Linked DNA regions of Coturnix japonica. The protein of the gene in region 1 interacts with the protein of each later gene in a pairwise test. Links are inferred from orthologs where the notes say so. Each region holds a gene or a part of one and is shown on either strand. Other genes may lie near its edges. The genes, in order: KLHL2 and TMA16.

Region 1 (8,115 bases):
GCTAACCTGCTTCATAATTGGAAGAGATGTTGCTACAAATAAAATAGATGGCCTTGCAGTCTGCTCTGTAGATGACTGATAGTTGTCACAACTTTTCATCTTGCCTTCCATTATTCTTTATTAATATTGAGTAGTTTTTAATCTGTGTAATGATGTTTAAAGTCAATCCAAATTATTTCAGTAGGCATTATATAAAAGTATTAAAATCAATACTGAAATTAAGCTACTTAGTTTGTGATATTTCCTTTAATGGTTTTACAAAACTACCAAGTAGACAGGTCCACTATTGCCAAAAATAACATTTTTGTTGTTTTTAATTGAAAGCTATCACGTTAATGAAATAAATCTGATATGGTACATCTTAATAAAAGCAGTAGTTTTCTTGTGAGACTTCTAGTTACTTTGGTTGTATACCATGAAAATAAATCCCGGATTAAAGCTTGGCCAGAGCTGCAGTAAGGCAGCTGTCTCATACTGGCAAGTTTTGAGGAAGATGTTTACATAAAACAGCCAAATTACTTGAATGATCACGAAGACAAATTGTGTTGGTGGGCTGCTAAAAAGGTTCATTTTGCAGTCTTTGAGCAATGCCCTTTTATCTAAGTTTAAAAAATATAATAATTAAATGGGAAAAAAACCCTTACAACCTGTTTTTGCAAACTGTCATTGTGCCTGCAGCCTATTTATATACTGGATATTTTCAGGTGATTTTTTTTGTTTGTTTGTTTGTTTTTAATTTTTTTTCTTCTACAAGCCTAAAATTTAGTGCCTTAAATGCAACAGCTATAAGGATCTTTCTGCCCTGCCCCTCTCCTCCTGTTCCTTGCCTTAGAATTCAGGACCTTGTTTACATACCTGTGCCGCTTTTTACCTTATCTTCTGTTTAAAAAAAGAAATAGAGAGGAATAAGGTGAATCTAGTCAGTAATTTTAGGTTCACGTAATTGAGGAAAATAATCCAACATTCTTTGGTGCCACTCGTAAATGCATGGAAAATTGTATTTATGCTTGGGGAGGAGTGGGTGGTAATGTGGAAAAATCGTGACTGTTGATTGAGCTCATCTGTCAGCCAGATATCTCAAACCACTATATCTGCTTCAACTGGTGGTCAGTCCTAGTGTTTTTAGGTACTTGCTAAAAAGAATTTTGTTCCTGTATTAAATCTATGGATCTCTGTTCATCTCGAGGAACTTTAGCCCATCTCTTCTGTTCCTACTGCTTCATCTTCATTCAAAAGCAACTTCAGAGGTTAACCCTCAGTTAATCTTCTCTAGTACCAACTGCATCTCAGTTGATCAAGTGGGGACAAATCTGTTTCCGGCAACATATTGGGATGAGGAACTTCAGATTCAGATATAGGCCGTTTGGGAGGGATGAGAGAGGTAAGACAGGGTCCTGAAAAATGGGCAGGAAAGAAAAATAACAGGAGAACTCTGAAGACGGCAACAAGAAGATACAGACGGAAGGAGCAAGAAATAAGGTAGGACTTGGAAATGGGGTGTGGGGTTAAGGGAAAATGAAGGGCCAAGGAGAAATGAACGACATTTTCAAAAAGAAAATGAATTGCCAAATAAAAAATGGCAATATGGCAGAGGAAAACTATATATGCTATATAGGCAGGTCAGAAACTGGAGAGAAAACTCAGGTGGGGAAGAAAAATATCAATGAAGCACATTCTTTTTAGTTATTTGCTTGATCTATGTCACGTTGCACATTTAAACTAAAAATCTTAGCCATCCTAGCTCTATCATGTTTAACATTACCAAAGATGAATGTTGTATTATCCTGTCTAATAAAGTGAGATCAGAGTGGGAGAAAGAAAAGCTGTCACTTTGTACTGTGACGTGATAGCTAGAAATAATAGCAATCAAGGAGGAATTAAATTAACAGGGATGGGTACAGGCAAATGTCAGTAGTGAATGTCACTGACAGAGCACTAGATAGCATGATTTATAAATCAGTGTCATATTAAGACCTACTTTTCAGATTTGCGATACTATTTAACTCTTCCATGTTTCCTTCCCCTTTTCCTTTAGTTATTGAAAGCTGTTGTTGTTTTCTATATGAGAATTGTTTCCGCAGGATTATTTTCTCTTCCCCTCATAGTATAGGAATGGCCCATACTCACAATCTTAGTGATATATTTTTCAAAGATGTTTTGGCTGGTTTTCAAGGTCTCAGAACATTTTTTTTTCTTAAGCCACATTTTTTTTTTTTTGGTCTGAAAAACTTCATATTTGCCATTTCCTTTCCTTTTTAATACATGTTTTAAGCTGTGCCCTTTTTGTGGAACTCTTTAATAACTATCTTGGCAAATTTGTATCATGCTATTTAAACTTTACAATCTCAAATATAACACGTAATAAGTTTCCCGGTGTACTTTCATAGTAATGATTTTTAATTATCTTTATGGTCCATCATTTGCAAGTTTTAATGCCAAAAAATTGCACTTCTGAAACCCAATATGTTTGGGTTATAACAGTGCATTATAAAGTGAGGCATAAACTAACAGGCCTCCCTTTTTGTTTCCTCTGATACCATCTTTTCTGTACGTGCAGTCTAACTAGCAAGTAGGCCTAGACTAGCTACTTCATCCCAAGCTTATAGATTGGTAAAATGTTGTAAAGGGGATGCTAGGATTAAAGGAGATCCAAAAAATACTTCTGGATAATTCGTTAGCTAAAGCTTGGCTCGAGGAAGTTTTGTGTTCTCCTCCAGATCTGCAGGAAGAAGCTACTCACTGTAATTGTTTACTTTTGTTTCATACATGTTTATAAGGTGGTATCGTAGCACTTCAGTGGAAGCATTCCTGTTGTTTAATGTCTGTCCATTCAGCTTTACTGTACTGCATAGTATTTATATTCTAAAAATTCAGTTCTGCTTTATCATTTTATCAGATTTCCTTTATGTTGACTGAGCATACTGCATTATTTACTATCATTTCTAATTAGTCCTAAACTCCAGCAGTCCTCCTATTTCTGCTCATCATCCTTTCATCCAAAGTTTTTTAAACGTTATGTTGCAGAACACCTCTGGTTTCTGTATGCTGCAATATGGATGGGCATGCAAGACATTTTATCAGTGTCTTGCATTAGTTTACTGTCTCTTGCTTTATGTATCCTGACCTAAATGTCTTCTGAAATAATTCCTAACATTGGATGAATGATTTGTTTTAGCAGATCTTTTTTTGTTTTCTTGGTATCAGTCAAATTACGCTGTAGTTAATTTTGAGTATTTTCATGTGTTCACAGGTGTTGGTGTGTTAAACAATTTACTGTATGCGGTAGGTGGTCATGATGGGCCTTTGGTAAGAAAAAGCGTGGAAGTGTTCAATCCCGTCACCTGTACATGGAAGCAGGTTGCAGATATGAACATGTGCAGAAGAAACGCAGGTATGTACTACAGTTACTCTAAAATGCTAGCAGTAAAATTAGGTGCAAATGGGATGCTCCTTTTTCTTTTAAATGGCTTTCTGCTTCTTTGATGATGTCACAGCATGGAAATCATGCTTTCATGGGTATGAATGAGCTGATCATTAACTTTCATGATTGGTTTCCTGTCTTTTTTTTAGGCGTTTGTGCTGTAAATGGTCTCTTGTATGTAGTTGGAGGAGATGATGGTTCCTGTAATTTATCAACAGTGGAATATTATAATCCAACAACTGATAAATGGACAGTTGTGTCATCTTGTATGAGTACAGGAAGGAGCTATGCAGGTAACGTTATCTAGGGTTTCTTTTTTTACAGTATATTGAGCTGCAGCCGGGATAAGAAATTTGAAGCATTCAAGCAAAGCACTGTGTAAAATAAAAGCTAAGATACTAGAATGGGCATGAAGAATTTGATGGTTAATTTTGAATATAGACTTCAAACAATTAATTCACTAAAAATGAAAAAGGTATTGAACTGTATTGAAGAGGAATTTAGCATGTAATGATGAATTAGAAGACTCCAGTGTGACCAGTCCCTTTTTTCCTCAAACACGCTTTGTAATTGTCTCAATTTCTAGCGGTCCAATTCTGAAGTTCTCTGTGGGAAATTGCTATGTAGAAAACAAGAGCAGTTTTAGGAATCTTTTCTTTTAATAACTGCAGTTTCTTAAGTTATTACAGTGTATGTAAAGGATATATTAATTATAAGGGTAAAGTTGATTTCCCCACCCCCACCCCCCCGCCTACCCCAAGTAACAGAAACATTCAGAAATCTACACTGATTCATATAACTTTGTTATATAATCAATTATTATTTGATATATATGTATCAAATGTACTATTAAAAATTAGACAATAACATGAACAATAATAATAGCCTGCAACTAGCATAATATTGAAAAGCTGTGCATCACCATCAAGGTTTCCCTGTTTTCCCTAGACTTACACCTTTCTTCCTTACTCTAGGTGTTACAGTTATTGACAAACCATTATGATCGATAAGGGGATCTTCAATTTGATTGTGCACTAGAAGCAGCCTTCAACAAGTGTATTTGAAGTGACTGAGTACCTAAGCACTTCTCTACTTGTAGCTGCACCTTGAGTCACAGTGGAAGATGTGACCGTCTACAATTGCAGATGATGGATGATGAAGATTACTCTAGGTAGAAGCAATGCGTAGGACTACTCTGCGGTTGAACAGGGGCTGACTGGATATTTGAAGTGTAGTAGGCCGTGTCTTTTTTTAATTGCAAGATCTTCAAACACTTAAAGCCACTTTCATAAGGACAGACTTATGTCAGTTGTGGCTGAGAAACAGGTTGTCAGTGGAGAATGGTGTGTATTCTGGTGAAAGTAAATTTGTCTTATTTTTTCCAGAGACTAATAACCATGTTTAAAGAAATGAACTGTCAGTCTTCATAGTAGGTATCGAATTCCACCTCAGTAATTTAAGCTGGCATGGGGGAAATTTGTTTCCTTTTATAAGACTTTTGTTACGTAACTATGATATGTGTATATGTACGTGTGAGCATAAGTTGCTTTCTATTGAAATTCTTCAAAAACCAACTTTATTATTTATAATTTGGCACAGTACTTTGAATATGCCCGTACTATGTTGTAAAAGAGAGTTGTATTTTTTGATATTTAACAATACTTAACACTACTAATTCCCACTGAAGGAGATCAGAGCTGGTATAATGATTCCTGGACAGGTGTAATTTCGAGGTCTTTTTAATAAAAATGTTGTCTGTACTTAATGTTGTTTTTTCTTTCCCTGTTCAATTTTGGTCACATTTAGATGTTACTTCTTTCTTACCTTTTTATGCGAAAAGTGATTTGGCATGAAAATAACCGAAAATTTATAATGAATGTGTGAAATTAAGTTGAACTTGCATGGTACTAAGGTCTCTTAATGCGTGTAACCTTAGCTTCTGTTAGCTAATACCTGGATATACTGTATGTGGCCATGTTCATAGAGCAGCTCGTTTCTATTCCTTCTTGGACGGCCTCCTTTTAACACGACCAAAGTTATTGTCATATTTGAGATATTTTCTTCAAATAAACAATTTGTATATGGTTTCCTAACGCCAACCGACTGCTTAAAGCTTGTGTTTCTCCATACAGAAAACGGTTTCTCAGCTGACATCAGGGCACCGACTGCTTAAAGCTTGTGTTTCTCCATCCTACACCTCAGCTGACAGCAGGGAAGAGATTTTGGGGGAGAAAGGCTGGTTTTGAAAAGACCTGAGTGTTAGTTATTGCTGAGGCTGAAAGTGCTCACGTAACTACCAGGGAGGTTTCTGAAAGCGTTTTACTCAAGCCATTGCACTGCAATTTTCTCACTCCCTTTCCTAGAACGAGGAAACGTTATCCGGCCTCGCCCCGACCCGGAGAGGAAAAACCCCATATCGGGTTCAGGGCAGCACCCCCCCACCCGCCCTGCCCACCTGCCGGCCCGCCTCCTCCTCATCACCTCGTGCACGTCACCCGGCCGCCCGCCCGCCTCATTGGCCACGCTCCGAGGTCTCACTATCCTCACTCCACCCCTCCAGCCAATCGCCGAGCGCGCACACAGCTCCGGCCCTCCCTCTCTCACGCCTGACTCTCCGCCGCTACCGCTGGCCAGCCAATGGGAGCCGCGCCGGGGTTACCGGGCGGCCAATAGGAGGGCGCAGGTGAATAGCCGGCCGCGCGCCGCTTGTTATTGCTGCCGTCGGCCGCGGTGTGACAGGGCCGGGACTGCGCTGAGGTGAGCGCGGGGCGCCGGGGGCCGCGGGATGAATGGGGGGACGAGTGGGGGGACGAGTGGGGGCCGTGAGCCGACGGCAGAGGGACGGTCGTGGGCCGCGCTGGGGTGCCCTGGGCCGCTCTGGGGTGTGCCCGGCCTCGGCTGTGCGTGGGGCCTGGGGACCGGGCCGGGCGTCTCCCTGAGTTCCACCCCACGGCGGCTGTGTCGCTGTCTGCCTTTTGTACCCGTCTGGAGGTTTATGCTTTTATGCTGTGCTTCAGAAAAAGGACTTGGTGTAGGGAGCCTGCTTTGGCAGGGGGGTTGGACTCGATGATCTCTAGAGGTCCCTTCTAACCCCTACAATTCTGTGATTCTGTGATCCGTATTAACCTGCTCCTCGGTTTTTAGCCTCTTTCTGAAGAATAACTGCTGTTTATTCGTCTTCTCTTAAAACACCCAGGTTACGCACAGACGGCTGTGGAAGATCTGTGACTGTGATGTTTTGTGCTTGAACGATGGCAACGAACGACAGCGTTAATATCTTGAACTCTGCTTATCTGGCAGTGGAATATATAGACTCTTTCCTGCCTGACAATCCTCTGCAGCAACCATTTAAAAATGCTTGGAATTACATGCTGGACAACTACACCAAGTTCCAAATAGCGACATGGGGGTCGCTTTTAGTTCATGAAGCTTCATACTTCTTGCTCTGTGTACCTGGATTCATCTTTCAGTTTATACCCTACATGCAGAAGTATAAAATTCAGCCGGTAAGACATAGTAGTGGACTGCACACTGATCTACCTCGAAACACATGAAATCAAGCATGTGGCTGCTGTTGGTTTCCATTTCATGTGGCCATGTTTGCTCAGTCACTGTGAACAATCCAGAAGGAACAGAGGAAACTTAAAGTGTTTGTGAGGGGATGCAGAGAAGTGGGTTTGGGGAGGCAAAGGAGTTTTTTCAGAGTGAGAGTGTATCCTTTCCATCCTCAAGAGGTAGAGAACAGGTATGTCAGCCTTCATAATAGGAACTGGAAGTAATACAACTTTCTGGAGTTGCCACAGTGATTTAATAAGGTGTCTTCCTGCAGAACCTCTTTTTTTGAAGACAGTTTAATTCTTCACGACTTTTTATCTTCAGCTTCTGTTTTATTCTTTTAGCTATGGCAACACTTTGGTGCAAAGAAGAAAAAATAAGTTAGATTTGTGTCATTCAACACACTTAATCTGATATGTTCCTGCTAATTATAATTACTGAAGTAACAAGAATAGTTTTGGGGGGAGGGGGGAGGATGGGGGGGAGGGCTGGCAAGGACAACTTCTGATGAGACACTTCAGAAAAGTAGTTTAGAAAAGTGAGAGCCTTTGAAACCAAATCCAGAGCCATGAAACTGGTGTTCCCTGGGATAATTTGCGTGATGGGAAGACTGGCTGTCTGTCTTGTAAGGTGAAAGGAAATTGCCTTTGAAGTCATCTTTGTGGCACTTTGGTTACTCTTGATAGAAATGTATAACTCAACTCATTTTTCTTTTTTTTTTTTTCCTTAGGATAAACCAGAAACGTGGGAAAAGCAGTGGAAGTGTTTCAAAACGCTTCTCTTCAATCACTTTTTCATTCAACTTCCTCTAATCTGTGGCACGTACTACTTCACAGAATTTTTCAACATTCCATATGAGTGGGAAAAGATGCCTAGGTGGTACGTAGATATGTCTTGTACATTCATAATGAATGACACTTACATATATAACAAAAACCGTATTGGAGTTTGTGACATTAACGTAACTTTTTAGGCTAATAAACTATGCTTGCTAACCACTCTTGAGACTAAATTGCAGTGGGAGCTAATTAGAGCTTCCTAGAGTCACAGCAGCTTGTGTAAGATATCAGGTGGGTGGTGTGCTATGGGTTTGTTTTTATTTTTAAATCCAGCTGTTTTTTTTTTTATTTTCTATTATT
Region 2 (9,348 bases), about 410 kb from region 1:
TGTGCTCCCTCAGCTGACTCATTGCTTGCCTCAGGTGGTTAATCAGAGGGTCAGGCTGTGATCAACCATTTCCCTTACAACTTGTCTTTCAAGTCCTGCATTAGTTAGCCTGGGGTTCTAATAGGGTCTGCATCCATCTCTTGCAGTCAGGTTGCTTGCTGGGAGAGATGGCACCAGTCTGCTTCCTTAAAACTCCTCATGTCTGTCATTTAGGAAATATTCTCCTTTGTGTATATAAACTTCCTCCTATAAAAAATCTGGCAATCACTATGACCCTGTGAGCAAACCACAGAGAAGGTCTGGTTTTGATGGGACGCTGTGCCTCTGAAAAAACCCATACAGAAAAGCCACCAAATCCACAAGTCATTTGCTATATGTGTGCTCAACAAGCAGTAAAAACCTCCACACTCAATCATTCTGTATTGATTTGTTACGGGACAAACACAGTTACCATAATTATTAATGCCCTGTTTACCACTGAGGCAGCCCACAGTTCCTTCTAAGTAAGTTTTGTCTGCAAATTTAGAATGCGTTCAATACCCACATCTGGATAATTTATAAAAATGCTGGAGAGAACTTGGCCTCTATATTGTATCTAAAAGTGCAGCGAGATGTCAACATGTGAACATCCTTCAGGAATACATTTTTAATACGTAGGAAAATTACATGTTAGCTTGAATGATCAAAAGGGAGAGTTTCTCTCCATGGACAGGATCTGCTCTGTGCAGCATGCCATGAAAATTTCCATCTAAGCATTCCTATGCTGCACAAAGCAAAGTGCCCAGCATCTTAAGGGATGTAAAAATGTATTCATGATCTGTGTTCCTCTCCTTATTCTTCCTCTTTTCAGCAGTTACCTTATGAAGCCATTTGTTGCAGTTAGCCAGCAGAAAGTAGTCAAAACCCAACAAATTGTTGAGATGAACTGGAAAGCTCAAAAGGGAAGGAGATTAACTTCTAAATGCATGCAGGCAGGCATAACACTGAAGCATAAGTAAGCAAAGGAATGTTCTTTTGAACTCACTCAAATTCTTTTCTGTTGTAATTTTTATTTGTTTATTTATTTATCAGTAGCATTCGAGACAAGAATGGCAGGTTAATTTAGCTCTTAGATACCATGTGGTGCCGTATAACAAAGTTGCATCCCCCTGTTCTGGCACAGTTTCTCTATAAACTAATTGAGACTGAAGTACTGCACAAGTCTTCTTGATATCTTTCCAATTTCCTCCGGGAAATGAAGGAAAAGTAAATTTAAAAGAAAATCGGAAGGAGATGAACTATTACCTCTTCTTTCTGCAGCACCAAACTTACTGTCTGACCAATTTATCTGTTTCACTTCTCTGCTTATAAAAATGAAACTGAGTACAGAAGGTTCTAAGGAGTAATATCTGCTTGTATAACAAAGGAAGGAAGATGCAGACCAAGTGACTGGCTTTACCTATCAGGGGAAAGATAAGTGAGAAATTCAAATTAACTGATGTGCATCTATACTTGCCCACATTGTCCATTATAACACTGAGTAATTGGTGTAAACTGAGTAGATTGCATACTTCTTGCTTCTTGTACCAAAGTAGGCACAGAGCTCTGTGCTGTGAAGCTTCTAGTTCTGGCTGATAACATAAGAATGAAAAATAAAATTAAAAAAACACTATTTGTAGTAAATATGTTGCATGATAAATGTAATGTCTGGGAGAAACTCAGACAAACAAGTTCCTTCCGGGTAGATCACACAATAAATTCTTCACTTTTTCTGGAGCTCTGAGTCTTATTCTGAACACAGCATTAACTGGCTACTTGAATACTTACCCTAAGGGTCCCACATCTGATTCAATCTCAGGAAAGCCAAAACAAACCAGCAAACGACAAACAAAAAATACTGGTGCCCAACATCATTTGGTACTTTGTGGTTTCTGAAGGACGAGAGAAGAGTAAAGTTGTTACACAGCTCAGCCAGTGATCTCTGGACATTCCAAAACAGGTATGTGGTTTGTACACACAAGACAACACCATGTTGAATTTAAAGGCTGACAAACTTCAAGTGAGATTGTGCTACAGCTTGAACTCGGGCAATTTTGATGCATAATAGTTCAACTTAGATTTTTATGGAAGTCAGGGTTACATTTGTTTGCAATGCAAAAAAAATATGCTACCATTTTGTTTATTATTTGCAGCAATTGTTAGTAACATTTCACATAGCCCCAAAAGGCACCATTCATTTCTATGAATTCACTTTTACAGCTGAAAAAAATCCCATTTTTTTTCATATTTCTATATACATATATAAACCTACTGTGCTGTTTCAGTTAATGTCACTATGGTTTTAGTTGCTTCTTCTGCTTGGTTTAATTATCTTACAAGTAATAAAGACCTGAATCCTCTGGAGTTATAACTTGGCTTACCGTTTTCCCTAAAGAATGAAAAGCACCGCTAAATCATATTTAAAGTTTCTCAGCAGTGCCAGCTCATAAAAGCTCAGCATATGGCTGCTAAGCTTTAAGGAATAGCTACTCTGTTGCAGTGTTTTGCCTTTTTACCACTGAAAGTCAAACTGAGAACTTTCAGGTTCTTAGTGTTTTCATGCAGAAGATGAGTTAATTGGTGTGAAGATTTTTGTCTAAGCTCACAACTTCATGGGCCATTTAAATAGAAAATACACATTCTGCAACTTCAGCATAGCAGGAAGTGATTACTAGCAGTAAGGCTACTCAAAGATGCTGTAACAGATACTCTGGGGAAGGAGCCGTGTTTTTGCCAACCCCTACAAATTAGCTTCCAAGTATAAACAGCAGTGAGCAAGGGGATTCTGGGTCCTGACTTGAGCAATAAGCATCAGAGTCTTATTTTCTAGAATTTGACGTTATTTAGCATGAAGATCACTGAACCACACACAATCATTGGAAGGGACCTCAAGTCTAACCCCCCTGCTAAATCAGGTTCCCTACAATGAGTCACACAGGTAGGTGTACAGACGGGTCTTGATTGTCTCCATAGAAGGAGTCTCTACAACCTCTCTGGGCAACATGTTCCAGTGCTCCTTCATCCTTATCATAAAGAGGTTCTTCTGCATGTTAGTATGAAAAACTCCTATGTACAAGTTTTAGGCTATTATTCCTTGTCCTATTGCTACACACCACCAAGAAAAGTGTCATCTCATTCATCTGCCTCCCACCTTCCTTTACATACACACAAAAATGAGTCCAACAAAATGTTTTTGCTGAAAGAAGCGCACTTGTTGTTTTACATTATTAAGAACTGATAAAGCTAACCACCCACTTTCTTGAGGGGAGATCCACCATCAAAACAAGCATTTTTTCCATTCCAGCATAAGAATTTCTTTTTAAGGATTAAACACATTTGGATATGGTACCTATGGGTCTTGGCATGCTTTGGTGATTTTAGAAGCTTGATCTTGACAATTTGCAGAGGGCAAAATAATTCAGTCTCTGGAAATTACAGACTCCAAAGTCTTTAAACAGTCCAAACTCTTCATTACTTCCTTATACAATGCTAATTCCTTTAAACAGACATTAATGAAATTGGGGAAAAAAAAAATATTTGATGAGAAAAAAGATTCCACATTAAAAGCCTACAGAGATAATCAGACAAATTATTAAGAATGCATAATGTTTACAAGGAAATTATATGTCTACTGAGGAAAACAAGGCACTCAGCTAAAGCAGAACCTTACTTTTGTCATCTGTAGGCATATAGTGATGCGTCTGAGCACATTTACCTGGACTATTCCAACATAACTCTTACAGCTTGAAACTCAAAAGTAAGGTGACTATCTAATAAGAAAGAAACATTCTAGGACGAGTTCTCATGGTAATATGGTGTAGTGTAATGCTGGTTTTTTGTGTTTTGTTTTTTTGTTTTAATTATGTGATTTTAAACTGAAAATAGCAGAGTTGTATATGAGTAGATATGTATGTTTTAGCTATGCATGAGGCTGTGGCATTCACTTATTGCAGTGAAGAGAAAGCCTATTCTAAGTTAAACGAGCAAACAAACAAACAAAAAGCAGGAAAAAAAAAAGGAAAAAAAATATCAGTATAAATAACTAAATCATAAATTATATGTAAGCGTGCTAGAGGAGATGCTGAGAGCCTCATAAGATCTTAGAAGTGATACTTGTTTCCATGAATCTCAGATAAAACAGAATTGCCAGAGTTACCTCAACTAAAATATTATACAATATGTTCACACATCAGCTTCAGTTGCAGCAGGTCCAGGACCTGAAGTGAAAGAGACTGAAAGAAACAGGAAAGAAAGAGATCACTCTGAATCAGCAACAGAACAAAATATACATAATTATCTCCTCCCATTCAAACTTCTCTGGTACACAAGACTATGAGATTTCCATCATTTCACATTTTTTCTCTCTCCCACAGAAAAACGAAATCTTTGGGTTAATTCAGTAACTATTTTCTTAATTGCCCAAGATTTCTTTTATTATGTTTCCATTCCTACTGTGTGTACAGTGAAAACATCCAGAAATATCCAGAAGAGATCTGGATCAGAAGATAACCAGAAAAGTTTAATGGGCAGCAAACTCAATTCACTATGGAAGACATAAAAAAGTTAGAATATCTTAAGCTCCTCTTTATTATCTTAATTTGCGTTGCAAGTGCACAACGTAACAATACATTTTAATGGTTATAAGGATTTATTCTTCAGGCTGGACAGAAGCTTAAGCAGAGTCAGAAGCGGTTCGTGCTTTAAGACACATGCAGGCTATACAGATATACCTGGCCACATACTGACCCGCCCCGGAACCGCGTGCTCGCTGCACTGCCGCCCGCCCGGATCTCTTTGGCAGTAGCACCGTGCGGACGGTGGCCGTAGAGAGAACGCGTTCGCAATGGTGCGTGATGGTGCGGGGTGTGTGGGTGCGAGCGGTCCTTCCTGCCGGGAGCAGCTCGATGCGGGAAGGCGGTACCGCCGGCTGCTAAGCACGGGACCGGGGGGAGGAGGGGGGAAAGGCCCGCAGCGGCTCGGCCCGGCTAATTCGCGATCGTGTAAGACTTTCCGGTAGCAGGCAGAGGGCTCGTGTCGTGCTCGTATCGCCTTTAGTGTAAATAGCTTCTTCTTTATATCCAGTCTTAATCCTCCCTCGCTTAGTTTGAAACTCTTTCCCCTTGTCCTGTGCCCTGCTTGTCCCGTTCTTTCACATAGCCCTCCCCTTTGGATACCGACAGGCCACTCTCAGGTTACCTCTCCAGCCTTCTCCAGGCTGCACAGCCCCAGCTCTCAGCCTGTCTTCAAGGAAGTGTTCCATCTCTGGGATCATTTCTGTGGCCCTCATCTGGATGTGCTCCAGCAGATCTGCCTCTTTCCTTACTGAGGACCCCACATCTGGACATAGATGATGTACATGCATGAGCTTTTAGGTCTTCACTTGGCACGTGTTCCTATCTTCTCTTTAAAGTTTTATTTCATTTATTTTCAGCCAAAATTGCAAAAAACCAAAGGAGGGAAGCAAGAGAAAAAAGCTGTCCATCCTTACAGTAGGAAAGCTGCACAACTCGCTAGGGAAGCACACAAAAAGGATAAGAAAGAGAAGTAAGTACTGGGTAAACTTACATACATGCTGAAGGACAGTGTGTGTTTTAGCTGGGAATGTTGGTGAAAAGAGACTGGTACAATAAAGCTTTTATTTTAAAGATCTGTATAACAGTGCTAGGCTGTGTGAAATGACATAATTACTGTAAGACAGAATAATACAAAGATGATAACAGATATTCAAAAGGTTATTTATAGGGAAAAACTCACCAATATGGACACCTTCTCTGGGAAATGCTGAGGCAATCTCCACCAGGGAGCAGTCTCCAAGAGATGCTGCCACAGTGGTGGTCAGCCCATAAATGAGGTCTAGAGGAGGTGGAGTCAGGCTCTACCCCTTCTGGGAGCACAGCTAAATTACTCTCACCTGTGCTCCCACAGTTGACCTGACACTTGCCTCAGCTGATTAATCGGAGGTTCAGGCTGTGATTACCAATTTCCCATACAACTATATACACAAAATCTTGAAGTATGTAGTTCAACTACTGCATTTTTGCATTTTAAGCAAGGTTTTTGCATTGCAAGTGAGTATTTTGCTTACTGTAGTCTCAATGGCATTGTGCTAGTGACATCAAATGAAGCTTAGTCACCTGGCTTGACTTTACTCCAAGTTTTACGTGGGCCTACCTTCTTGTGCTGAATTCATTGAAAACAACCTCACTGGTATCTGCCCCAGCCAGCAGGAGCTTTCTAAGTGAACCTAATATTTGACACCTTTTGGATGATGTTTTGCTGTTTCATGGCAAGTTCAGTTTTCTTTTAGCTTTCATTTCCCCTTCTGCAGAAGGAAGAGATAGCTATACAGGACTTGCATTCAATTTCCAGTCTGTCTCAGCTTGGTCTCTCTCATGCATAGACCAGCTCCTTGAACACTGATTCGCTACGATTGTGTACAAAGCTCTTCAAGTGAACTTCAGGCATTTTCTGTCAAGGTATAATTTGGAAGGACCACGAACACTAAACAAAAATACTTAAATGTCTGAAGATGTTGCACTGGGAGCTCCTGGTACAGTTAAAATGTTCCTCAGAGTCTGTGCAACTTTTATGGTTGGGGATGGATGTACAGCCTTACACAGCACAAATATGTACCTTTTTGTACCTGGGAAGGGGCCCTTTACAAGCACAACTATGTCACATTGCCTCAGCAGAGCTGCTACAAGAGTTTACAAGCAGCACATGTAGAAATTCCTGCAGTTTTTTAGCATGCAAGAAGTCTTCCCTGCTGCTTTATATTGTCTGTGCTGTCTGACTGCTGGTTTCAACTGAGTGCTATTAGTGATCATAAATGTTTTCTTAAGTGCTAAATTGACTACCTCGTCCCTTAGATAAACTCTTCTTGGCTCTTAACTGCCACTTAGAGAGCTTAATCATGAAAGGTAACCAAATCATATTTGATTTTCATTGCTTACATCTGCTTCTTCGCTGAAAGCAAAAATGTACACAAAACACTCAGTGTGTAAAGGATGTTGTGATTATTCATTGTGATGTGGCACACTTAATCAGATCTTCTTCTGATTTGTTTGTGTGGGTAGAATTATTCTGATGTAGACACCAGTACTAAGAAATTCTTGTTTAAGTGCTTTGTTTGTTTCTGTTTAGAACAGAAAGAAGCAGAAAATAATAATAATAAACAATCTACCTCCTACTGGAATTGGCATTCTCCCATTTGTTTTACCATTTAGTTACTTTTCATCATGAAAAAGTTCATTTTGTAAACGTAATTGCTTTTTAACAAGGAATTTCACATAAAGGAAATAAAATTATTTATAAAAGGATTTATTTCCTTTTTAAGAGACTTAACAGCAAAATTAGCCTTTCTGCTCTTTTGAAGTGCAGTAAAAGGAGCTGGTCATAGCAGTATTCTTCCAAGTGAAACAGACAGACCCCTTTTGATATGTGTAATGGGTTAACCTGAGGAAAAGGCACCATTTTATGGAAAACCGTTAAGTACTGGCTGCCCAGCCGGCTAATTAAGGGTGTTTCAACCAAGTCAGTGAAAAAGCAGCTGCTTCCTCCTTAATTCTGTTAAATATCAGGGAAGCCTAGTGTCTTCAGAGAATGTCTCAGTTTAAGATTAGAAAGAGTAGAGGGCTTTCTTCTCCCTTAAGCTCTCTTTGTTTTGAATGCTAAAAGCTTTTTATTTTTATTTTTTAATAAGCAGACATGCTGAACAGTTCAAGATTAGAGGATGTAGATTGCTGTCTTAGGCTCTGTGTCTTGATTGCTGCCTTTTCCAAGCTTTCTTACTGTTTCAGGTGCAAGTTCTTTAATCTGATGGTAATCAATATAACCCTTTGTTTCTCATACAGAAACTATTCTGCCAGAAGTAGTGTGTCAACATGGGCCATCCAAAGCTTATTGTTATAGCAGAGTGTTCTGTCTATAAATTCTGTGTCCAAACAAATGAATTACCCATTGTTACCTGCACATGCAATTTCAGTTTTACAGTGTGACACTGGGGAAGATGGAAGGAGAAATTCTCTAAGTTACAGAAGTCTTTGATCGCCTCTGTCATCCAAATAGTCTTCAATGCGAGCATGCGCAGTGAAGTATGAAGGAAATAATAAGCTTGTCCAGAAACTTTATCTGTCCTACAAAAGACCAGCCCTTATCGTAATAAGGTGTGACAGACCAATTGGTTTGAGAAAATTGACTGCAGTCTTCAGCCAACTTGTCCACTTGAATCACACTTTTTTCTTCCCTGTGTTGCTCTTCACACAATATCTACTAAACCTCAAGAAAACCTTTCATCATCCTTTTCCATAATCAGTGTCTAAACGTATCATTTACTTTTTTTCTTTCATTCAGAGTTAAGAGCTTGCTGCAAGATTGAAATCCTGCCCTTATCTTCTCTTCCCCTTGAGTAAAAGATGTTACTCATTGTGTGGAAGGAGATGAGAGGAACTGTCTTTGCCTTGCCTTATTTGATTCGCTTCCCTGTTTTTTTCTAGCAGGTGTTGAGGTAATGCTCTTAGGAAAAGTACAGTGAGGCAGTAACTGATCATATCCTCTCGTATTTCTCATACTGAGATAAGTTGTGTACTCCTTAATAAAGAAGGCTTTTCTGCCAGAAAATAAGCCTGATTATGTACATAATTGCCTAGACAAAAAAGTGATCCATTGAGCACTGCAGGTCCAAATGGTGGCTTTTAGTGTTGTAAACCATAAATAGATGGTGTTATTTATGATTTGAATGAGAGAGCTTTTCTTGATGGCATTGTAGTTTTCTCCATGGCAACTCATTGCAGATGTGCTTGGCTCGCTTTGCTGCCATGCCATATTCACAGCTGAGACTGCTGGTGTGCAGCTCTACTGCATGGAAATACAAATCCTTTCCATGCACACTGTGACCTGTCAAAACTCCATGCTGTGTGCTGTAAGCCCTCCATGGGATATCAACCATAATTATCTTGAAGAAATCTCCTACAGCAGAATTTTACAGCTCACTTCTAATCTTAATCCTTTTTCCTTTGTTTTTACAAAGTCTCATTCAGATCTGTCCTTTAACCCTGATGTCATTTCTGGTTAAACATTAAATTTCATTAGCCAGACAGCTTTTTGCAGGTATGATAACACTCATCCTGCTTATTTGTCTCCTGTATGTTTTTTACTTTAAAAAATCTTATCCTAGATGCTGTGGCATCTGTAACAGTTGAGAAGAAAAAGCAGCTTCCCATTAATGTGTTAGTGAAAATCTTAGCAACTTGGAGGCGCATTGGTTTGTATGTGGCTTTCAGGAACTTTTCAGAGAATAAAATACTAGTTGAAAAAGCGAATCTTTATTTT

Evidence for each region.
Region 2: the proteins of KLHL2 (region 1) and TMA16 interact in binary tests that used the Homo sapiens proteins (3 or more experiments, as listed by UniProt). The two-hybrid records come from large-scale screens. The link is inferred for Coturnix japonica from reciprocal best matches to the Homo sapiens genes KLHL2 and TMA16.

What each region holds. Positions count from the first base shown.
Region 1 is NC_029519.1:20,954,454-20,962,568, forward strand, and holds the end of KLHL2 (kelch-like protein 2), read left to right. Parts: intron 1-3,250; coding exon 3,251-3,391; intron 3,392-3,570; coding exon 3,571-3,714; intron 3,715-4,395; coding exon 4,396-4,424; 3' UTR 4,425-5,520; downstream 5,521-8,115. Other genes in the region: MSMO1 (methylsterol monooxygenase 1), read left to right, coding at 6,673-6,927, 7,707-7,855. UniProt on the Homo sapiens protein: Substrate-specific adapter of a BCR (BTB-CUL3-RBX1) E3 ubiquitin ligase complex that mediates the ubiquitination of target proteins, such as NPTXR, WNK1, WNK3 and WNK4, leading most often to their proteasomal degradation.
Region 2 is NC_029519.1:20,541,312-20,550,659, forward strand, and holds the start of TMA16 (translation machinery-associated protein 16), read left to right. Parts: upstream 1-4,772; 5' UTR 4,773-4,861; coding exon 4,862-4,864; intron 4,865-5,449; coding exon 5,450-5,562; intron 5,563-9,348. UniProt on the Homo sapiens protein: Involved in the biogenesis of the 60S ribosomal subunit in the nucleus.